Struthio camelus: one gene and its partners. The protein of the gene in region 3 purifies or fractionates together with the protein of the main gene of each other region. This does not show direct contact. Links are inferred from orthologs where the notes say so. Each region holds a gene or a part of one and is shown on either strand. Other genes may lie near its edges.

The links. Proteins that work in one complex are often made in the same cells at the same time.
Region 1: the proteins of cAMP-dependent protein kinase catalytic subunit alpha (region 3) and AKAP7 purify together in Homo sapiens (affinity purification with mass spectrometry; 4 studies listed by BioGRID and IntAct, with this or other methods). This does not show direct contact. The link is inferred for Struthio camelus from reciprocal best matches to the Homo sapiens genes PRKACA and AKAP7.
Region 2: the proteins of cAMP-dependent protein kinase catalytic subunit alpha (region 3) and GPR161 purify together in Homo sapiens (affinity purification with mass spectrometry; 3 studies listed by BioGRID and IntAct, counting the BioPlex papers as one, with this or other methods). This does not show direct contact. The link is inferred for Struthio camelus from reciprocal best matches to the Homo sapiens genes PRKACA and GPR161.

What each region holds. Positions count from the first base shown.
Region 1 is NC_090944.1:71,235,454-71,242,991, reverse strand, and holds the start of AKAP7 (A-kinase anchoring protein 7), read right to left. Parts: upstream 3,478-7,538; 5' UTR 3,461-3,477; coding exon 3,382-3,460; intron 3,238-3,381; exon of another isoform or gene 2,948-3,237; intron 150-2,947; coding exon 1-149. UniProt on the Homo sapiens protein: Probably targets cAMP-dependent protein kinase (PKA) to the cellular membrane or cytoskeletal structures.
Region 2 is NC_090942.1:97,614,909-97,622,612, forward strand, and holds the start of GPR161 (G-protein coupled receptor 161), read left to right. Parts: upstream 1-4,227; 5' UTR 4,228-4,337; coding exon 4,338-4,780; intron 4,781-5,328; coding exon 5,329-6,053; intron 6,054-7,541; coding exon 7,542-7,646; intron 7,647-7,704. Other genes in the region: TIPRL (TIP41-like protein), read right to left, coding at 191-291. UniProt on the Homo sapiens protein: Key negative regulator of Shh signaling, which promotes the processing of GLI3 into GLI3R during neural tube development.
Region 3 is NC_090972.1:4,065,002-4,073,213, forward strand, and holds the start of cAMP-dependent protein kinase catalytic subunit alpha, read right to left. Parts: upstream 3,403-8,212; 5' UTR 3,328-3,402; coding exon 3,282-3,327; intron 433-3,281; exon of another isoform or gene 316-432; coding exon of another isoform or gene 306-315; intron 58-305; coding exon 1-57.

The sequences.
Region 1 (7,538 bases), on a different chromosome or scaffold from region 3:
AAATTCATCTTCAATATCTATGTTGACAAATGGCATTTCTACCATCAGAGAGTCTATAGAAAAAGCAGAAGCACATTGTTCTTTTCTCTCTTCTATGCTTTCTTTATTCTCTTTAAAAATTTTCTTCTCCAGTACATTTTCCAGCCCATCTGTAATATATTTAAAACAACACAACGGGTCTTAGATTTCAATACAAACAACTAAGAGACAGTGCACACAGGCAAAGTACAAAGTATATGTTTCTCTGTTTATCAACCAATAAATACTGACATATAGCCCCCTTAAGAATGCTACTGTTCTTCCTGTGTCAGCACATCAGCAAAAACGCTTCAACACTGTGTGAAGTAGAGAGAAAGGGATTTCAGCCTTCTACTTTTGGTAACACATGTTTTTGTTCAGTTGTAAGTAAAGGCAAATATGTGCAAAAAAAATTTCACATAGAGCGTTAGAAGTCTTTAGCCGTCACCTGAAGTTCACTATAGATAACAGTAACAACAAATGAACGTCAATGTAGATAAACAACGACAAATGACTTTCAATATAACCACATGGAAAACGAGGCAAAAAGGAGCAGAAAGGGAACCTTCCATTTACATATAAAAACAATGAGTTCTCAGATGACTATATCATTCAGGAACGAGATGATTACTCTCTTCCTCTTCTTGCAGATATACACAGCACGGTGTGCTACAGACAACAGTGATCTGAACCTGTGGTTCTAAAAAGTTAAATTTTAGCATTTAAGCTAAAAAAGGAACCAATGTAACTCACAATTCATTTTGCATGTATAAGGATTTATAGATATACACATACACAGATCTATCTTCTAGCAGTACCACAATTAAACTAAAAAGCTATAAAAAGTCCCTCTGCACTCCCTCAAAGAGTACTAACTATGCATGAGTCATTTCCATATATAACTTATACCTTAAAAAATAAAATACTAAAATCTCCTCTAGCATATTTCATAAAAAATTTGGACATAATCAGAGATCCAGCAATATTCCTTTGGGACAACTCCACAATGGGATTACTGTAGTGGAAGAAGCGTTACGTCAGAATTCAGTTTATCACAGGACAGCTCATTACTACAGACAATACACTTTCAAAGCTCCTCTTGTGACCAGTGCCGATATTCCAAATCTGCCCCAAGGGGAAAATCTGGCAGCAAAAGTGCGTATTATGTTCTCGTGGCATGCAAAACTACATTGCATGTATGCAATGGTACAGACTCAACCTGGGTTATTATCACCCTGGAGAGATTTCTTGCATATATCATTTTGTGCTAGGGAAGATAATTAATAGAACAATCTGATTAAGGGCTAACTCATTTCAGCCTGAAGTAGGGAGGCATAAATCACTCTGTGGTTGTAGCCTGACACCTCAAGTTATGCCAGAGGCTGTTAAAGAGAATAAGTATTTAGACTGGTTGCTAGTTCCCCCTGCAGACACTAAAGAATCATGCAGAACAAAGAGATTTTAAAGCAGCAATATATTTTTTGCCTAACATTTAGATTCAAATGCAGCTTACACAAAACAGATTAGAATCCCTCTATTGTTGCCGATTCACAAGCATACAGAAAATAACAATCCTTCCTTTAAAGAGATCACAATCTAAAAGACAAGACCAAATCCACAAAACAGACAAACAAGAAGGTCACTCTGCGGCAGTTACCAAAAAGATTCAGAAAGGCAAAACGATAGCCAGCTGAAAGCAAAAATCAACACTGAGGGTGAGGTTCAACATTGTGGGTTGAATCGATCTAACAGCTCACTGAGGCCAAAGGAGGTAGTCCTGCTCCCTTTCCCTGACCCCAGCCACATGCTGGTTAGTCTTCTGACTGCTTAAAAAGCTGAAAAACTCCGTCTGCTCACAGTAATAGCTTGGCATAGGAAGGGCACAGCTAGTATTTAACAACGGCCCTCCCCAAGTCAAGTACCTGAATTTAACAGGCACTGCTTCTAAATCCTACAGTCCCAAGGAAATAACTCCATCCCTCACCTTTTCTGAAATAAACTGTTTATGAAAGAAATCAGTAACAAAATTCAAAAGTTGTATTTTAGTCACTAAAACAAACCGAAAACAAGATTCTTCAAAAGTCTTGACATAATGTTGATAATACGAGACATAAGTAACAAAATCAGCTTCCATAGGAACTGTCTGAGCATTAAAACTGTCAAAAGATAAACTTACTTTTAATTCCATGACTAACTACATTAGCCTGAACTTCATATGTGAACAGGACTCTACAGTACTGTTATATTTGTATTTGCTTAAATGGTTGCTGTTTGCTTGAATATTTGAGTCCTCTGTTCCATTAGAATCAAGATACACCTAGTTCACAAATCAGAGAATAAAAAAATCAAGCAGCAGAAACGGCTGTCTTGCTTTTTAAAAGATAACTGATTGTACTCCTTTCCCAGCCTTTTGCCCTCTCAGATAAAACAGTCTTCTATTATTTGACATCTACACATTAGAGACTACAGTGAGGTTAGGTCTCCAGGCACTATTCCCTTATGTTTAATAACAAATGAATCTTTTGGAGACATTTTAACTGAAAGCTGCTGCAGAAGAAGACCGTTTTACTCTCCAGACATCTTGAACCGCTGGTGCTAGCAATAGCAATTACACAGCCAGAGAACTGACTCAGCTTAAAAAAACTTCCTCTAAAAAAAAAAAAAAAACTTTGGTAGGTTTAGTACTCAGCCAGATCGGATGCTTAAACTGACTGCAAGCCTGGGGACAGAGTACAGCAAGCACAGAAGATGAAAGCAGAAGCCCTTTTTAGCAACAGCCTACGACTGGACTGAGTCAATCTTCCCTGTGATCGCTACTACCACTGCTGCGAAATCTAGCTCCTCCTGGCGCTCAGTGTGAGGTGCGCAGGCATGCCTGTGCGCGCGCGCACACACGTCTTCGGATGAACTCCTCTGCACCATGTTTCACCTGGGTTTTAAAGCTGTGCGTAACTTGACCGTTACAAGGCGACGGCGCATTAACACACGTTAAAACCACTCCAGGTCACAGCTCGCCAGGACTTTCTGCTCCGCTGCGATCGGCAGACGGCTGCCATTAACGGAGGCACCGTGAGGGCCGGGAGCGCTTGCCTTGGACACAGGCCGGGCCACGCCACGGCACCTCCTCACGTCGGGCCCTGCCCGTGGCCGGGCCGGCGGCGGCGAGCCCGCGCCATCGCCGCACGCAGGGCCCCTGGCAGAGCCCCCCCGAGCCGCGCCGCCCTCCGGCGGCGGGGGGCGGGGAAGGGGCCTGGCGAGCGCGGCCGGCGCCGGCCTCCGTCCCCCCCGCGCCGCGCCGCGCCGCGCCGCGCCGCGCCGCGCCGCGCCGCGCCGCCCAGCCCGCCGCCGCCTCCTCCTCCTCACCGTGCTCGGGGGACTCGCCGGCTGCGCGCGAGGCGCCCGCGCCGCCCCCCGCTCCTGCCGCCGCCGGCCGCAGCGCCATGGGGCGCGGGCGCGCGGGCCGAGCCGGCGGGGCGAAGAGGGCGGGAGCCGGCGCCGCGGCCCGCGCGGGGCAGAGCGCCGGGAGCAGCCGCCGGGAGCAGCCGCCGGAGCAGCCGCTGCATGCCCCGGTAACGGCAAGCAGGCCGCGCCCGCCGGGCGGCGACGGGGCGCGACAAGGGCCAAAGGCCGCCACGGCGCCTGTCGGGCAACAGGCGGCGAAAGCCCCGGGCGGCAGCGCGCGGAGGGAGGCCGGGCGCCCCGCGCGGACCACAAGCCCCAGCATGCCGCGCGCGCGGCGGCCCGCGCGGGGCACGGCGGGAAGGCGGCGCGGCGGCCGCGGGGCGGGTTCGGGGATCGGCGGCGGCGGCGGCGGCGGCGGTGTCTCGGCCGCGGGAGGGGGTGCGGGGCCCGGCTGAGCGCCCAGGGCCCGGCCCGGGCCCGGCCGCGACGGGCAGGCGCAGCGCCTGGAGGCCTGGGGCCGTGGCGGCTGCCGTGCGTGCGGCTGGGCCCCACCTAGGCCCCGGGGGAGTTTGGCCCTCCCTTCGGCGCGTACGTCCTGCCCGTGAAGGGGGGGAGGCGGTGGACGCTGATCCACCAGAGCCGGGCTGCCTTGGCCACGTCTTGGGCAGATTCCCTACCCTTCCTCTTTCCGTACCTTAAACTCCATAGCGTTTTTTTTTTTTTTTTTTTTTTTGGCTGAGCCATCCTATACCCAGTTGAAGGCATCTAGATATTGTGCACTGAAACAGGAAATATATATTTTTTCCGTGCGGAATTTAAACAAAATTTTTACTGCATTCTGCTAAACAGAATGCCCATAACTAGTCAGAGTATTTTGAGGTGATGACTCTTCAAATTAACCACTTGCACCTTAGGACTACTCAAAGAACTTTACAAACCAAAGCAATGATTTCCATCCTTTTAGCTGTGGTCCAGGGAGAACAGATAGTCTTGCATTAAACATCCATCCTTTATGTGGTCATCCAGCCTTCTAACATAGCTCTGGGCCACTCTTACCATTGGCAATAATGCTCCTACTGTGACTGCACAATCTCCTATTGGGAATGAACCTTTTGGGTGTACGTGAGAGGCTGTTTCTCTGAGGCAAAGGAATGCAAGACACTATTTTCCTACTTAAATAAAGACTTTGTGCCTCTTGGAAGCCAAATTCTGTTTCTACATTCTGTGGAAGAAGCCAAGCCAAATGTTGCCTTGTGTTTCTGCAGATCAGTCTCTGCATATAGACCAGATCTGAAGGAGCTGATTGTTTACATGCATATACAAATCCTTACTTTCACTTTTAAAGGGAGTAGGGATGGCAAAAAAAAAAAAAAGCCACAGAAGGGAGGAAGCTGCATGCACAAGCTGCATGTTACAAGCATTTATGTGTGAGTTTCTGTGTTTGGCTTGTCTATGCATTCCCCTTCTGGAAGATAAAATCTGTCTGGGGGTATCTCACTGCTAGTTTGGCCTATTTCATGTTGCATTTGCCTTCACTGTCTTTCACACATGAATTTGGTCTGCACAGACCTATGGAGCCCAAAGACTGGTTGTGACACAGAAATCAAAGTTCTGTGTAATCTGACAGAAGCTTTAGTTAGGATAAGGCTGATGGCAATTTTCCATATTATGTGTTTCACCTAAATATCAGCTATCCTTAGGAAACTAAATGTTTTAAGTGGTCATCTCTTGAGTGAGTAAAATATGTCAATAAAAATTTGATTCTATGAAGTTATAGATCAAATAACAGGATAAACTTTTGGTATTAGATGTCTTTGTAGAAATACAAATTTAGAAAATGGTTTTGGATCTGAAACTGCTCCCAGTCAAATCACTAGGTATTTTGCTGAAATCTTCAGCACACTCTAATAAGAACATTTCTGTTTGTATGGTTGACAGGGCAGTACAATGCAATATTTAGATAAGTTAGCATTTAATATTCCTCATAGCAGTGGAGGAAAACATAATGCATTTTTAGCAGAACTAAAATTATACCTAGCCAATACCCACTAACATAGCACTAATTTGTTGATGTATCCTTTGGGTTCATAAGATGGCTGAATAAACCTTTTCAGGAAGTGAGAAATTAAAAGCACATTAGCTGGAGCTGATAATTGTTATCATGAATTATTCCTACAAGTCATAGAAGTGGCTGTGAGGAAAAATTCTCATCTGAAGACTGTAAAGCTAAATAACAAGCACTGATTTTTCTGCCTGCCCAAATACAGCACAAGTTTAGTGGTCACTGATCAGGTGCCTCATTGAAGCAAACCACACAGGTTTTTATCACTGCTTAAGTTTGCATTAAAGCCAGCACTTTATCAGTTTTACTCTGGTCTTGCCTTTATTAAGAGTTTCTGCTTAAGTTTTCAGTGAGACAGTTTTCCCTTTGAGGAGACAAAATTCAGAACTCCCAATGAAAGCTGAGTGACACTAACAGAAAGAGGAAGCACAGCCAGCCCTACCAATGTATTTGCTTAGTACAACCACACTGCCCATGCCTGTAAGCATCTCACCCATCTTATTGTTTCTTAATTCACCTGGTAATTTCAATCAAATTTGGCAGAGAGTAAGAGGACCCAGAGGAGGATGTTCCCATACCTTTCCTGAAAATGAGTGGTTAGGAAGGAGAGAGACACTCATAGGGAGAAGAGAGAAACAACACTGCCTGTCTGTGTTCCAGTAAACCGTGGCTGGCCATGAGTATTGATCAGCTTTTTAGGTCACAGGTAAGCAGTCGCAAAACATTACCTCTTATCTCAGCCAAGCAAGAGATATGGGGGAGCTAAGGGTATCTGGGGCACAACTGACTTGCGGGAGGTTAGGAAATAAAGGGACAGGAACTGGAAGATTCTATTACAGGAAGATCTAAATGTTGGAAGAGAACATTGGGATATTTTGTGGAATGTGGGACGGAGTTGAGGATATTCTAAGGCATGGACAGTATAGGGGAAGCTTGAGTTATTGTGACAAGAAAGGAGGACATATTTGGTATGAAACAAGGCTTTGTTACTATTGCTGCTGACACAAAAACTTGTTTTCTGACAAATGAAGAAGAGGAATTGAGCATGATCTGATAATAATAAGAATTTACTACAGAACAATGAGAAGTGTAAGCTGCAGAACTACAGATACCAGAAAATGAAAGGTAGTGGAGTGCCTGACATAAAGTAATTTAGTGTGAGATCGAAAAGCAAATATTGCTAGGGTTTCTGCAGTAACCAGTGTGAATGGAAGAAGAGCATGAAGATGCTATCGGTTGTAGTTTAATGTTTAATTGGCGTCTAACATGAATATGAAAATTAATGTGGAAAATATTAGCATGTGTGGATATTTTCATGATCTGTTAATGATAAGCAGTTCGTTTATATTGCAGGAGGGGAGAACAGAATGGAGAATCCACTGAAAATTTGATTATCCAGAGCAGCAGTTCTTAACTTGCTACCATTTGGATGAGAGCCACTGCCTAAAGATCAGCATGCATACTCAAATACCATTAATGTCAAGGCATTGTTTCAGACACTTCCAAGTTTCTTCCCACAGATACATATCCTTCTCCTTTTTATGTAGTGCCCACCTATCAACATAAAAGTATCTTCCCACATTTGCTGTCCTAAAGTTTACCTGACTTTTCAATCCTCTTCTTCCAGCCTTTCTCCTTTGTTGAATATCTATATAGAAGCAGAAGTAGACACTACCATATGGTCTTTTTGTTTTACTATTCCCTGTTGCCTGGCTGAGCTCGTTTCTTCTTTTCCAAGTGATGGAAAAGGATTTTAACTTCACTGTCATGTCTCTCATTCAAGGGCTTTATTTGACAGGATATGGAGTTACAGCTCCACAGGTCCTCTGCTGTCTATGGGCAGTGAAAGAAATTGGTGAGAAAATGCTGCTTGCTCACAGGAGCTGTGGTCATATCGCACATGGCCTGTTCCTAAGGACAGCAAATACTGGCCCCAGAGTGTGCTTTTAGCCAGTAGGCCAAAGTCTGGGAATCTGTTACATTTTGAATCAGACTGTTAACATTTTGTTGCTTATTATGGACATGGTGATACTGACATGGGAGACCCAGAGTGGAT
Region 2 (7,704 bases), on a different chromosome or scaffold from region 3:
AAGCTTACACTGGCAGAAGGAGAGAAAACGAAGGAAAAAAAAAAAAAAAGAAGGAGTTGCTGGTGGGAGCAAAGGCCCGCCTTCCCCCGTCAAAGGAGCATTATTTATCTCCTAGGCCACAGCTCCGCAAGCGCCTCGCCTGCGGGGAGCGAGGTCCCGGCGGGCTCCCCGCCGCCCCGGCCCGCCTCACCTCTCGGCCTGCGCTGACTTCATGATGTGCGTCTGGGCAGCGCTCAGCTTCCAGGGCCCGAAAGTGAAGTCACGGCGGCTGCTCTGGAAAACGGGGTGCATGGCGGCAGCGGGGGGGGGTGGGTGGGGGAGATGTGGCCCCGCCGAGGAGAAGGCAGCCGGGGACGGAGGAGGCGACGGCTCCACTCCAGCCGGACGCCACTAACGGTAACGACGCCGCTAACACCTCCGTCAACTTCCGGTTCCGGGCTGCTGCGCGCGCAGCCCCGGAAGGCGCTGCAGGCGGGGAGGGGTGGGGTGTCACGTGACAGTGGGCTGGGCGCCATGACGGGGGCGGGAGCTTCGCCCCGTGCTCGCGGGGACCTGCATCGCCGCCGGGGGGCGGCGGGTGGCTGCGGAGTGCAGCCGGGCAGATGGTTAGGCGCGGGCGGGCAGCGAGCTCAGGTAAGCGTCCCGCGAAGCCCAGCTTCAGCCGCCGACTGAAACGTCACTAGTTGTCTTTTGCTGCTGCAGACGCACACCTTGCGTTTTGTGTGTGTTACATACGTACGTACGCCTGCAGTCTCCTGCGCTGGGTTGAGCTGCTCCTGATTGCAGTCCAAAGATGATCTTTAAAGAACGTCAAACAAAATATGATAGTATTGTGAACCTAAAATCCTGTAGGAAAGGAGTGACAGAGCGGATTAAAATCTTCTATCGTTTCAGCGTGGATGGCTGGATGCTCATGTTGTGTTTGTGTGTCATCAAAAGGACAGACTAACTCCCCAGGAAATTGCTGTAGCATGTGAGCATGAATGATAGTCCTACTTGGTCTTTTGGAAGACCGTAGAGTCATGGCAAGCCAAGAGAACAGCCATGGCAACATGCCACATGTAATGCAAAGAACTATATCTATCTAAGAACTATTATCTGTTCTAAATTAACAGAGCCACAAAAAGTTCTAAATTACACAGCAAAGCTGTGACTTAGTCAGAGCAGTCACAGTGGAGCACTAACGGCCTTGCCAGGATTTGGAGAAGCTCAGACTTAGGAATGCACAAAAATGGTATTTAATTACCCTTGGTCCTTTACGCTGCACTGTCTGTGCCTTGCTTCCTGAAAAAAGGCACCCCCCCCCAAATTTACCCTGGTAAGACACCTGTATTTCTTTTAAAAGTCTCTTATGGTCTGGGAAGTCTAGGAACGTGTCCCCCTTTGTGCCACTTACTTGTTCTGTGTGCTTGGGCAAGTCATTTCATCTGCTGATCTGTGTAAAAATTGATTCCTTCCGACTGAACCTCCGAGGGTTTAAATAAAATGGATGAAGGCTGTAAAGAGGTCTGACATAGCACAGACTTGATTCGAGTGCCTTAGGACCAACCTGCGCGGTAGCTGGTAACTGTCCCCCTTTCGCAGGGCATTTGTGTTGCTTTCCCAAGGCAGCACAGCAGATAAACGGCCCTGCTAGAAGGCCGCTCTCTCCCCAAACGCAGATACAGTTGATTCAGAGCAAGTGGTGCCGGAGGGACGAGCTGAGGTCAGCCGGACCCGACCCGTTTTTGGAGAGGCAGCTCGTCTAACCGACTCCTGACGGTGGGTGTTCAAACGGGCCGGGGTGCGGGCGCTCCCCGCCCACAGACTGCTGCCCACCGGGGCTTACGGCGGTAAGAGCGGCCCCGCTGGCTGCCGCCTGCGGCCCCAGCCGCAGAGCGGGATGGGGCCGAGGGGAGAGTCCGCCGAGGAGGAAGCGCTCCCGAAGGTGACGGGGAAGCCCGGACAGAAGGGACGGGGGCAGAGAGAAAATGGAGGGAGGCGGAGCGGGAGGGGAGGGGAAGGCGAAGGGAGGGGGCCGCCGCGGCGGGGAGGAGGCAGGGGCTTGGGCATGGCGGGGGGAGGGTCGGGCCGCGACTCGGGGCCTCTCTCCCGCCGGCGGCGGTTGCGGGGGGCCCGGGGCGCTGTAACCCGAAACGTCCCGCCCTGGCGGCGGCGGCGGCGGGCGCGGCACGGCGGGGCGGTGAGTGCGTTGCCGGGCAGCGGGCGCGCGCGCCCGGGCCAACGGCCGTTACGGGGCGGGGAGCGGCCGTTGCGGCGGCCGTTACGGGGTTTGGCGAGGGGGGGAGGGGAGGGGAGGGGAGGGGAGCGGCCGTTACGGTGGCAGCGGGGCGGGGACCCCGCTCTCCGCCGAGGGGGCGGGCGAGACGAGGCGGGCTGAGGGATGCCCGGCCCGGTGGAGGGTGCTCTTCCCCTCCCCCTCCCCACCTCGGCCCGTTGTTGTCGTTGGAGGGGGTAAAATGGAGGCTTTTTCCCGGAGCCTCCCGGCAGCGGCGGAGGGGGCCGTGAGGAGCCCTGCCCGGAGTCGGGGCTGCTTCCCGCCACCTGCCCTGCCTGCCGGCCCTGCGGCATCCCGCGGGCCCCGCGGCGGCGGCCCTCGCCTCGGTAGGGCTCCGCGGAGATGTTGCCTCGCTCTCTGCTCGCCTAACCCTGGCGGGCTGCGCTAAACAAAGTAGTGCCCCGCTCGGCGCGGCCCCCCCCCCCCCATTTTCTCGCCAGCTGGTGCCGCAACCCCGCACATGGTTTTAATCAGGGAAGCAGCGCTGGCTTTCTGTCGTGCGTGTGTGTCAGCATGCCTGCTCCCTGCTGCTTTCTCTCCCGGAGAGGGGTTCAGCCGGTGGCCGGCCGTCCAGCCCAGTGGCCAGTGTGCGGTTGGCACTGGTAGCAGTGCTGGCCCTGGGCAAAGAGACACCCCCCCGCCCCAGCCCCTGCTTGTCCCACCAAGCAATTGCCCCTGTCTGAGCTGGGGCTCACAGAGCCAGGCCCTTTGGCCGTTCTGCTTAACTGTTTCCTCCTGGCTGATGGGCACGTTTGCTGGGCATCCCCCCACCCCGCCTTTGGGTAAAGCAGGATTAGATGCAACTCTGAGGGGAAGGGTAGGAGCGCGTGACCTGGGTGTTGCTGGAGGCTGTGGCCACTCTCGGATAGCCTCCTTTCTAGAATCCGCGCCTCTTTAAAAGGTGTTGGAAAGACTCACAAGTGAGCTGCAGCCATATTTTAAAGATAAACTTTAAGAGAAACGCTATTACGCACAGTCGGCAGTTTCACTAGAGAAGAGTTAAGCTAGATTTTACGAAGCGTGGCTCAGTAGTGTCTTCAATTAGGCTCTTAGGAAGGCACAGATAAAAATTGAAAAAAATACATCTCTGCAGCCTGACAGTGTTGCTTAAGGCCATAACAACCTCACGGATGGAAGAGGTTCTTCAGTACTCCTGGTGATTTGGGAACAATGGATGGGCAAAGCCGAGATACCCTCAGTGGGCCGCTGATTTCCAAGAAATGTTAAGATGAACTTCGTTTTATTTGTTGCACGCTTTTTTTGGTTGTTCGGTTTGCACACATGCATTTTTGGTGTTTTTTCAGTGTGCTGGTCTGCAGATGGGTGAAAGATTGAATTAAGCTATTAGGAATGCTTGTGGTAGACAGCAGGCAGAAGGCTGCTGCAGAACCGGGGGGAATACTGAGCTCTCACAAAACTGAGGTTATGAGGCAGGGGGATGGGTGTTGAGCAGTGATCACTGTGGTAGCTAAGGTGATTATGTACATGGAGAAGTGACATTAGGAGAATATGTTGCAGTGCTCCCAGATTCTTTGAATGTTACCTAGCAACCGTTAAGAGTCAGCAGGGTATGACTAGCCAGGCATCCACAGACCACTGAATAGCAGTTGCTACCTAGGCAGAATGCAATGTCGGGATAAGCAGACAGGAAAAAAAAAGACTTTTTTAAAATTGAGAGAAACAAAGACTAATTGTTACATTCTTCCTGTTTCTTCACAGCCTAGATGAAGGGACTGAGTGAGATGTACAGCTGGTAAGTATGGCTGATCAGTGCTTAGAAGCAAGTAAGATCCCTACAAAAATATTAAATGTTTTAATTTTCTTCTTTATTTCTTCCTTCCTCCGTCCCTCTCCATCCAACTCTTTCTGTCTTTCAGACAGTTTCTCCCCTCTTCTAGATTTAACTCTATCATTGACCTCTTTGGCGTGCCTATGGGCAATTTCCTGCCCCTTTGTTTTCCCATCCAAAACGATTTGCTGTCTCCTACAGGTAAAGTTTAATTAATGCGAGTAAAAGAGCCCTTGATCTTTGGAGAGGAGGTGAGGAAATCTTGCCTGAATGTCTCTGAGTGTTGTTGTTCTGCTTCTAGCTCCTCAGCATGTCTTGGCTGCTCCAGCTCTGCGCGCTCTGACAATGAGCAGCAACTCCTCCCTCATCAATGTGAAGGGCCTGAGGAACCTTACCACGCTGGAAAACGGGGCTGTCAGAGTCACCGAGTCTATTGCTATAATTGTCATTGCCATTTTCATCTGTTTGGGCAACCTGGTGATTGTCGTCACCCTCTACCGGAAGTCTTACCTTCTCACTTTGAGCAACAAGTTTGTGTTCAGCCTGACCCTCTCCAACTTTCTCCTCTCTGTACTGGTACTACCTTTTGTTGTCACCAGCTCCATCAGGCGGGAATGGATCTTTGGAGTTGTTTGGTGCAACTTTTCAGCACTGCTCTACATGCTGATCAGCTCAGCCAGCATGCTCACTCTTGGACTCATAGCTATAGACCGGTAAGCAGCGCTTTTACAGTGAGTGAAAACAAATTGTCTAGTCGTTTCATAGAATGACTTATTGGCTGTTCACAGGGTTGAGAAGCACTGCAGTGGATGACCATACATAACATTTTAATGACTTTCCATTAATTTAATTCACCCCTCCCCCATGAGATTTTGACACAGAATGGAAGAAAGTGCTGTCCTCGATAATGCAAAATGCTTTCATGCATCTAGAGTTTGTTTAGAGCTGTTTATGGTATAATAACATATTACTTGAGAAACAGTAAGTAAACACAATTCCAAATATAGGCTAAGCGTGCACTCACGCAGAGAGACAGAGTTAATAGCTGCGTTTGTGCCTTCAGGTGACTTTCACAGTCTTGCCCGCAAAGATGCGGATTCTTAAATAAAACTGTTTATAACAGGGCCCCTGAGCCCACTTTGAGGTTTGGAGAGAAGAGCTTGTTCTGCAAAGGTGACTAGATATCAATACCATTAAAATATGTTCCTTTTTTACTGTACTTTTTGTGTGCTCCTATTGACTCTTGCTTTTTGTCCACCAGGTACTATGCTGTCCTATACCCAATGGTTTACCCAATGAAGATTACAGGCAACAGAGCAGTGGTAGCTCTTGTATACGTGTGGCTACATTCCCTTATTGGCTGTCTCCCTCCCCTCTTTGGCTGGTCGTCTTTGGAGTTTGACCAGTTCAAATGGATGTGCGTGGCAGCCTGGCATAAAGAGGCTGGCTACACTGCCTTTTGGCAGATCTGGTGTGCGTTGCTGCCTTTCTCGGTCATGATGATCTGCTATGGATTCATATTCCGTGTGGCTAGGATTAAAGCCCGCAAAATCCACTGTGGTAGCGTGGTTATTGTGGAGGAAGACTCGCAGAGGAATGGGAGGAAGAACTCCAGCACCTCCACGTCCTCTTCAGGCAGCCGAAGGAATGCTTTCCAAGGAGTTGTCTACTCTGCCAACCAGTGCAAAGCTTTCATAACCATCTTGGTTGTCATCGGTGCTTTTGTGATTACATGGGGGCCTTACATGGTAGTAATTACGTCAGAGGCGCTTTGGGGAAAAAATAGTATTTCCCCTGCCTGGGAGACGTTGGCTACGTGGTTGTCCTTTTCCAGTGCCATTTGCCATCCACTGATTTATGGACTCTGGAACAAAACGGTACGCAAGGAACTACTAGGAATGTGCTTTGGGGATCGGTATTACCGCGAGTCCTTTGTTCAGCGGCATAGGACATCAAGGCTATTTAGCATTTCCAATAGGATCACAGGTAAGACGTAGTTATGAAAGACACTCTTCCTTAGTATTAGCAAGAACAGTACTTGGTGTCTATGTGTACGTGGCGTGTCTCGAGGCTCTGTAAACAATGTTCCTGGAGGTTTCAGGGGTCTTTTGTTCAAATTATTATAGACGCTTGGAAGGAGGCTGATTTTTGTGGGAGTTAATCTCTCTTACTCTAGTAATAAATTTTCCCAGAGAAGACATAGTGATGAGATTAATAAAAATTACTTCTTTTCTCTCTCCAGCTCTTCATCTGTGCTTATTAGTATTTTGTGGTATCCAAATTTGAGCACTATGAATAATATATCCTGTGGCACTCGTGCTCTGATTCCTGGCTTTATGCTGTGACTCTCTGAACTTTACTGAGGTTACATTGGTCTTAATATTTCTATAAATTCAGTTTTTAGTCTTAATGGTTGTGAAGGAAATACTGTAACTGGAGAAAAACCATCCCATTAGATGCCTTCCTGCGTTGCAGGCCAAGAGCTCCAATGACTATTCAGCTGCTCAGAGGGTTTTTAAGTTGTAGCCCAATGAAGTTGTGATTTCTGATCGTTTTCCTGATCTTATTCAGAATGCTCCGAAGCTCCCCAAATCTAGGACATCACGATGTTCCTTGGGACATTGCCTGCAGAGGCAGGAACTGAAGGTATTTAATTGGGAAAGAAGATCTAAAATGTAAAAGGGAGGGAAGAGCAGCAAGGCATCCGTTATCTTTTCTGCAACCTGGAATCACTGGGAGAGACTCCACGTAAATGAAAGAGTTCTGCAGCTGCAGCCACATCACCAGCTGCTAACACTCCTCCCTTTAGCAAATCTGTATCTGGGAGATGTTGTGGATGAATTCATTGGAAACTGAGTTGAGTTGGGAGGGAAAAGACAAAGTTTCTTTCTCTTTCCAAGTGACAAGAAACTGACAGCTTCAAATTTATCAGGTGTAGCAAGTGGAGGCTGAGAGGAAAAAAACCACAAAGTCCTTAAGCAGGATCCAAAGACAGCGCGTTTGCCACAATCCTAGAATCTCCTCCCTTCCTGTTTTGGGGATGTGAAAGAAGGCAGGCATCTCAGTGCCCCAGTCTCACTAGTGACCTTGCTGCTACGCTAATGGTCTGTCACAGCTGCGCATGGCTATCAGTTTGTTCTCTGGCTAGGAGGTGTCTGTCACCATAGCGCATGTCTGCTCTACGTTCAGCCTGGCTTGCTGATAAATACATGCAATTGCAAAAAGAGTGGGAAGGAGATGGCATAGATAGAAAGGAGACTTGCCATATAACAGTACTCCAAGGGTACATGAAAGCTTCTGACTGGGTTTCTAAGATGGAAAGTCCAAATGCTTGCTGTACCCTGGGATCAGTGGGGTAAGTTTTATGGAGAGAAGGGTAAATAAGGCGACAGACTGGGTATTGCTGGAAGAGCTTTTTACTATTGTAGACACCCTAAGCATCCAGTGTGTGATGAGGATTAAACTGTTTTGCAGATTTGGGACTATCTCCCCATCTCACTGCCCTCATGGCAGGTGGACGGCCATTAGGAAACAGCAGCAGCACAGGAGACACAGGTTTTAGCTGCTCACAGGATTCAGGTAACTAAAAGTCTCTTGCTCTCTTTTCTTGGGCAGAAGATTGCACTTGCAAGTTGGG
Region 3 (8,212 bases):
CTGGATTCTCCCATTTTTTCAGGAAATCTTCCTTGGCTCTGGCCAAAAACTCCTTCACTGGGGGGGGGGGGGGGGGGGGGGGACAAAATGGGGGGGAGTCAACCTTAGGACCCCCCCCCGCCAACGGGTCCCGGCATCCAGGGCTGCTGCCTCTTGCTCCTCCCCCCCCCAAAGCACCCCAAAACTTCCCCAGGCCTCTGGGGGGGGACGGACGAAGGGCAGAGGGGCCCAGGTGTCCGGCCACCCCCACCCCCAGAGCCTCTCTGCGAGGACCCAGGCGTCCGGACCCTGCCCCCCACCCTCACCGTCCTCCATGCCGCGCGGGCCCAGGCGTCCGGGAGGAGGCGGCCGCAGGGCGATGACCCCGGGAGAGGGGGGGGTGCGCAGACTTTGTCCCTGGGGCCGGGGTGGCAGCGACGCGGGCGGGGACAGGCCACGGGGACACCCCCCCCCCAGTATGGACCAGTATGGCCCATGCCCCCACCGGCCCCGATATGGGGGGAACAAGGGACTCTAGGGGATGTGGCACCGCTGTTAAGGACAGTGCCATCGGGGGACATGACACCGCCACGGGGGGACATGACACCGCCACGGGGGGACACACAGACCCCCAAACTGGTGTCCCCAGTGGCCACCAAGACCCCAAATCAGTGTCCCCTGAACGCACAAGCCCTGCTGATGTCCCCAGTGCCTGCAGGGACCCTGAAACTGGTGTCCCCAGTTCCCCCTGGACCCCCAGAAAGTGCTGGTGTCCCCAATGGCCACCGTGACCCCAAAACCAGTGTCCACCAGGACCCCCAAAACCAGTGTCCCCAGGACCTGCCTAGGCCCCCAGACCAGCGTCCCCAGTACCCTCCAATACTCCCAGACCAGTGTCCCCAGCACCCGCCTGGGCCACCAGACCAATATTCCCAGTGCGCCCCAATACCCCCAGACCAGTGTCCCCACCGTCCCCCAATACTCCCAGATCAGCATCCCCAGCGCCCACCTGGGCCCCCAGATCAACGTCCCCAGTACCCCCCAATACCCCCAGACTAGAGTCCCTAGCATCCACCTGGGCCCCCAGACCAGTGTCCCCCAATATCCCCAGAACCAGCATCCCCAGGACCCACCTGCCTGGGGCCCCAGACCAGCATCCCTAGTGTCCCCCAATACCCCAGAACCAGCGTCCCCAGTGCCCGCCTGGGCCCCCAGACCAGTGTCTCCAGTGTCCCCCAATACCCCCAGAACCAGCGTCCCCAGCATCCGCCTGGGCCCCCAGACCAGTGTCTCCAGTGTCCCCCAATACCCCCAGACCAGCGTCCCCAGTGTCCACCAATATCCCCAGAACCAGCGTCCCCAGCACCCGCCTGGGCCCCCAGACCAGCGTCCCCAGTGTCCCCCAATATCCCCAGACCAGCGTCCCCAGTGTCCACCAATATCCCCAGAACCAGCGCCCGCCTGGGCCCCCAGATCAACGTCCCCAGTGTCCCCCAATACCCCCAGACCAGCGTCCCCAGCACCCGCCTGGGCCCCCAGACCAGCGTCCCCAGTGTCCCCCAATACCCCCAGACCAGCGTCCCCAGCACCCGCCTGGGCCCCCAGATCAACGTCCCCAGTGTCCCCCAATACCCCCAGACCAGCGTCCCCAGCACCCGTCTGGGCCCCCAGACCAGTGTCCCCAGTGTCCCCCAATACTCCCAGACCAGCGTCCCCAGCACCCACCTGGACCCCCAGATCAACGTCCCCAGTGTCCACCAATATCCCCAGACCAGCGTCCCCAGCACCCGCCTGGGCCCCCAGACCAGCGTCCCCAGTGTCCCCCAATACCCCCAGACCAGCGTCCCCAGCACCCGCCTGGGCCCCCAGACCAGCGTCCCCAGTGTCCCCCAATACCCCCAGACCAGCGTCCCCAGTGCCCGCCTGGGCCCCCAGACCAGCGTCCCCAGTGTCCCCCAATACCCCCAGACCAGCGTCCCCAGTGCCCGCCTGGGCCCCCAGACCAGCGTCCCCAGTGTCCCCCAATACCCCCAGACCAGCGTCCCCAGCGCCCGCCTGGGCCCCCAGACCAGTGTCCCCAGTGTCCCCCAATACCCCCAGACCAGCGTCCCCAGCACCCGCCTGGACCCCCAGATCAAAGTCCCCAGTGTCCCCCAGTACCCCCAGACCAGCGTCCCCAGCACCCGCCTGGACCCCCAAAGCCTGCTGGTGTCTCCAGCACCCCGGGGACCCAGGCGTCCGGGCTGCCCCCCCGCTGACCTCGGGACCCGCGTGGGGGCGGGAGGAGGCGCCAGAGACCCCCCCGCCCCCGCTGCACCTGCCGAGCCCCGCCCCTTTCCCCAGGCCCCGCCCCATCCCCATGGCAACCCCCAACGTGCCCCGCCCCCGTCCCCATGGCAACCCCTGCGCGCCCCGCCCCTTCCCCCCCACCTCCGCCCCGTCCCCATGGCGACGCCCACGTACCCCGCCCCTTCCCCGCGCCCCGCCCCCGCGCCCCTGGCAGCCCCCGCGCGCCCCGCCCCCGCGCCCATGGCAACCCCTGGCATGCCCCGCCCCTTCCGCCAAGCCCCGCCCCCCCACCGTAACCCCCTCCCCCGGGGCAAACTGCCCCAGGGTCCCTGTGCCCTCCGGATCCGCCCCCGCCACCCCGGGGGTCCCTGCCCAGTCCAGCTCGGTTCAGCTCGGCTCCCCCCGATCCGGTTCGGCCTCCTCCCCCCCCCCCGGTGACCCCCGGTTGACCCGCGCTCAGCCTGGTCCCCCCCCCCGGTTCGGCCTGCTTCACCCCCGGCTCCAGCCCGGCCCGGTTCTCCTCAGCTCGGTGGCCCCCGATCCAGCTCGGCCCGCTTCCGCCGGTTCCGGTGCCCCTCCTCCCCGGTCCAGCCTAACCTAGGGCCCCCCGGGTCCAATTGCCCCCGACTCAGATCCCCTCGGTCCCACCCGGTTCCGCCGGGCCCGGCACCCCTCATGGTCCGGCCTGTCTCGATTCCGCCGGTCCCACTTCGTCCCAGCTCGGTCCCGCCAGATCCAGCTCGACTCGGTTCCGCCGGTCCCAGTTCCCCCCCAGCCCCGCCCGGTTCCCCTCCAGCTCATCCCCCTCCCCGGTCCAGCCCAGCCCGGTTCCGCCGGGCCCAGTTCCCCCCGGCGCAGCTCGGCCCGGCCCACCCTCGCCCGGTTGTCCCGGTTCGGCCCGGCTCGGCCTGCTGCCACCTGAGCCCGGTTCCCCCCGGCCCGGTTCCGCCCGGTACCCGCCGAGAGAGGGAGGGAGGGCGGCCGGCCCGGGGCGGCGCGGCGCCGGTACTCACCGCTCTCCAGCTCGCCGCCCTTCTTGGCCGCGGCCGCGTTGCCCATGTCGGGCCCGGCTCGGCTCGGCTCGGCTCGGCCCGGCCGCCCCGCTCCCCGGCGGACCGCCCCGCCCCGCCCCCCGCCGCCCATTGGCGCCGCCGCGCCGCCGGCGCCGTCCCATTGGCCGCTCGCCTCTGACGCCGCGCCTCGCGCGCCCGCCCCGCCGCAGCCATTGGGCCCGGCCGCCGCCGCCGCGCCGCCTTCCATTGGCTGTCCGGCCCGTCCCTCCGGCGCTCGGCCCGCCCCCGCCAGCCGCCCATTGGCTGCGGCGGGCTAAAAATAGAACCCGGGAGGGTTGGGGGCGGGGGGGGAGAGAAGGTCCATGGGAGGGGCGGGGCGTCAGCTGAGGGGGCGGGACCAGCGGTGATTGACAGTAAGTGGGGAGGGGCGTGGAGACAGCTGGGTACCGGGGGCGGGGCGATGGGAGGGGAGGGGCTTGGAGGGCCAGGCGGGTGGGGGGAGGGGCTAGGCGTCCCTCCCCCCCCCCCGCTTGGCGCACCTCCCCCACCTTCTTGCCCCACCCCCCGTCGGGTTTGGGGCCCAGGAGCCCCGAGGGGAGCGGGGCGGCCCGGGTTTCACCGTGGGGCTGCGCCTGCACCCCCACCCCCAGCCTGCATCAGCCCCCGGCAGCAGGGCGGGGCTTCCCGGCTCCCGTAGTGGCCGGCACCGCCTTGCCCCGCCCCCGCCGCCCCGCCCCGCCAATCCCCGCGCCGCCCGCCGCCGCCGCCGCCGGGAGAGGCGCGCGCCCGCCGCTTCCCCGCCTCCCGCTCGCGCGCCGCCGCCAATCGGCAGGCTCTTCCAGGCCGCCAATGGGGAGGGTGGAAGGGAAGCGGCTGCCCAATGGGAAGGGCGAGGGGGCGGGGCGAATGGCGGCCGGGGCGCGGTGCGGAGCGGCGCAGCCCCGACACGCGCATGCGCCATGAGCGGGCGCCGGGCCCCGGGCGCTGTTCGCGCATGCTCCCCGCGCATGCGCGCGCCCGGCCTTGCACACGCGGCCCTTGCACACTCGCCCCGGGGCTGCCTAGCCTTGCACGGGGGCTCCTGGCACACCGCCCTTGCACGCCCATCGTGCGCGCTCACGTTCCGGCTTTGCGCCAGAGCTCCTTGCACGCTGCTCCCTTGTGCCAGCTCCCTGTGTGCTGGTGCACCAGGCGCCTTGCACACTCAGCCCTTGCACGCTTACCCTTGCTTCTGTACCCAGCTTGCACGGGGCTCCTTGCACACTTGGCCCTCACAAACTTGCCCCAGATGCTCACAGCCCAGCCTTGCATGGGAGCTCCTTGCCCGCATGGCCCTTGCACACTCCCCCAGCCTACTCCCGCTCTCGCCTTGCACTAATTACTGGCACTAATTACCCCTCCCCCATTGTTGACTACAGACCCCCCCTCCCCAGTGAAGCCATTTGCATATGCTAATTATAAGCAGGGCTAATGATAGCCAGCAGCAGGGCTCTTCCTCATCCCCCCCTGCTGGCAGGGGACATGTGACCTACACGTGTGACCCTGCTCGTGCATGGCTGCATGCACATGTGTGTGATGGTGGTCACACGTGTGAGAGCCTGCTCACACGTACGTGGCTGCACTGACACACGTGTGATTGCACACACGCCTGTGTGGCAATCCGCCCACGCACGTGCAAATATGTTTTCATGACTATGTCATGCATGATGGGGGTCATGTGTGAGGGAGCGTGTGCACATGCGTGACCTTTTCTGTGCAGCAGTGCGCTCACGTGTCCGTGACCACGCTGGTATGAGTGCGAGCGCGCGCGTGCACGTGACACTGCTCGTGCGTGCACAGGGCCGTGTTCACATATGTGTGCGTGTGCCAGCTCACACACGTACACGCGTGTGCTCACGTGTGCGAGGCCCTGCTCAGGCGTGTGGCTGGCCGTGCTCACATGTGCGTGCGTGTCTGTGCTCACGCGCGTGTCTGTACATCGGGTGGGGCAGGGGCTGCCAGGACATCTGAGCCCCCTCCCCCAAAGGAGGAGGGGGGGCCTGCCCCTCCCCCGTTCCCGTAAGTCAGGCTGGACTCCGGGCGGGGGAGGGGGCGGGGCCTGCCCGTGACACCGGGGTGACCCTTGACCCCCGCCCTATCCAGCCCCCTCCGTGCTGTCTGTGAATGGCAGGCCAGGTTTTGCCCCTCACTCCATTCCCAAGGGTGGATCCAGGCCGGGTTTTACCCCCGCTCCCCTCCCAGGGCGGATCCAGGTCGGGATTTACCCTCCAGTCCCCTCCCAGGGGGTAGATCCAGGCCGGGTTTTACCCCCGCTCCCCTCCCAGGGCGGATCCAGGTCGGGATTTACCCTCCAGTCCCCTCCCAGGGGGTAGATCCAGGCCGGGTTTTACCCCCGCTCCCCTCCCGGGGGCAAATCCGCACCAGGTTTTCTGCCTGCCGCCAGGGCGGGAAGAGGCTGTTGCCCCGCACCGCTCCCCCCTCCCGCCCCCGTTACCGGCTTCCTCACACGGTAAACCCTCCCCCCACCACGTTACCGGGCACCTCACGTGATTGCCCCCCCCCTTTAACGATACCCTCATGCTCTTCCCTCCTCCGTAACGGTCCCCTCATCCTCCCCCCCATAACGGTCCCTGTAACGGTCCCCTCACACCCGCCCCCCCCATAACGGTCCCCTCATCCCCCCCTGTAAAGGTCCCTTCACACCCGCCCCCCCCCCATAACGGTCCCCTCACACCCGCCCCCCCATAACGGTCCCTACATCCCCCCCATAACGGTCCCTGTAACGGTCCCCTCACACCCGCCCCCCCCATAACGGTCCCTTCATCCCCCCCTGTAACGGTCCCCTCACACCCGCCCCCCCCATAACGGTCCCCTCATCCCCCCCTGTAAAGGTCCCTTCACACCCGCCCCCCCCCATAACGGTCCCCTCACACCCGCCCCCCCATAACGGTCCCTTCATCCCCCCCATAACGGTCCCTGTAACGGTCCCCTCACACCCGCCCCCCCCATAACGGTCCCCTCACCCCCTCCCCCATAACGGTCCCCTCACACCCGCCCCCCCCATAACGGTCCCCTCATCCCCCCCATAACGGTCCCCTCACACCCGCCCCCATAACGGTCCCCTCATCCCCCCACCATAACAGTCCCCTCACCCCCTCTCCCATAACGGTCCCCTCACACCCGCCCCCCCATAACGGTCCCCTCATCCCCCCCTGTAACGGTCCCCTCACACCCGCCCCCCCATAACGGTCCCCTCATCCCCTCCCCCATAACGGTCCCCTCACACCCGCCCCCACCATAACGGTCTCCTCACCCCCCCCCCCCATAACGGTCCCCTCACACCCGCCCCCCCCGCCCGGTACCGGCGGCCCTGTGGGCGGGGCCGCGCGGCGCCCCGCCCCCCGGTGAGTGACGCGGGCGGGGCGGGGCGGGGCGAGCGGTGCTCGCCGCGGGGGGGGGGGGTGGCGCTGCCGGGGGGGGGGCCGCGCCGCCCGCACCGCCCGCGCCGTCGCCGCATGGAGCTGCCCCCCCGGGCCCGCGCGCCCCCGCAGGTACGGGCGCCGCCGGGGCGGGGGGGGGCGTGCAGAGCCGGTGGGGGGGCGTGCAATGCGGGGGGGGCGCCGTGTAGACCCGGGGGGGATGTGCAAAGAGGAGGGGGGTCGTGCATCGCGGGGGGGGGGCGCCGTGCTGACCGGGGGGGTCGTGCGATGCGGGGGGGGGGGGACAGCCGGTGCGGGGCGTGCAATGCGGGGACCCGTGCGGGTTGAGCGACAGTGTGCAATGCGGGAGGGGGGGGCGCCGTGCAGAGCGGGGGGGGCTGTGCAAAGAGGGGGGGGTATCATGCAATACGGGGGGGGGCGTGCAAAGCGGGTGGGGGCACCGTCGGTGCAGGGCGTGTAATGCGGGGGGGGATTGTGCAATGAGGGGGAAGGCGCCGTGCAAACCGGGGGGGCACCGTGCAAACCGGGTGGGGGGCACTGTGCAATAAGGGGGGGCAGCGCCGATGCGGGGCGTACAATGTCGGGGGGGGGCGCATAGCAGACCGGGAGGCCGTGCAGTGCGGGGGGGGGGCCGTGCAAACCGGGGGGCGTCATGCAAAGTGGGGGGGGCCGTGCAATATAGAGGAGGGCATCGTGCAGTGGGGGGGCACCGTGCTGTCCGGGGAGCACCGGGAGATGCGGGGCGGGGGGCATGAAAACCAGAGGGGGGGGTCGTTCAATGCGGGGGGGGGCCTCCGTGCCATGGGGACCCGTGTAAAACGGGGGGGGGGCTAGCCAAGTCGGGGGAGCGGGGAATGGAGCCCCCCCCGGCCATCAGGAGTGCGGGGGGGGCCTGTGCAATGGGGGGGATTGCAATGGGAGGGGCGCGCAGTGCGGGGGGGCAGCGGGGAGGGCGCATATTCCAATGGGGGGGCTTATTTCGGCCCCCCCGGCCGACAGCTCGAGGAGGGGGTCTCTTCCCCCCCCGCAGCCCCTGGACCGGGGGGGGCACCGCCCCCCCCCACTGCAGCAGCGGGGCCGGGTGGGGGGGGGGGGCACCCCCGGTACCGTAATGTCTAGAGAGGCGGAGCCGTGAGACCGCTCCGGCCACGGTGAGGGGGGGTCGACGCCCCCTCCCGGTACCGTAATGTCTGGAGAGGCGGAGGCCCGAGATCGCTCCCGCCGCTGAGGGGGGGCGACTCCCCCCTCCCGGTACCGTAATGTCTGGAGAGGCGGAGCTTTTAGTTCGCTCCCGCCTCTGGGGGGTTTGTTCCCCCCCACCCCGGGTACCATAATGTCTGGAGAGGCGGAGCCATCAATTGGCTCCCGGCACTGGGGGGGGCGGGGGTCAGTCTCCCCCGGTACTGTAATGTCTGGAGAAGCAGAGCCCTGCGATTGCTCCCGCCAGCGGGATGGGCTGCTCCTCCCGGTACCGTAATATTTGGAGAGCGT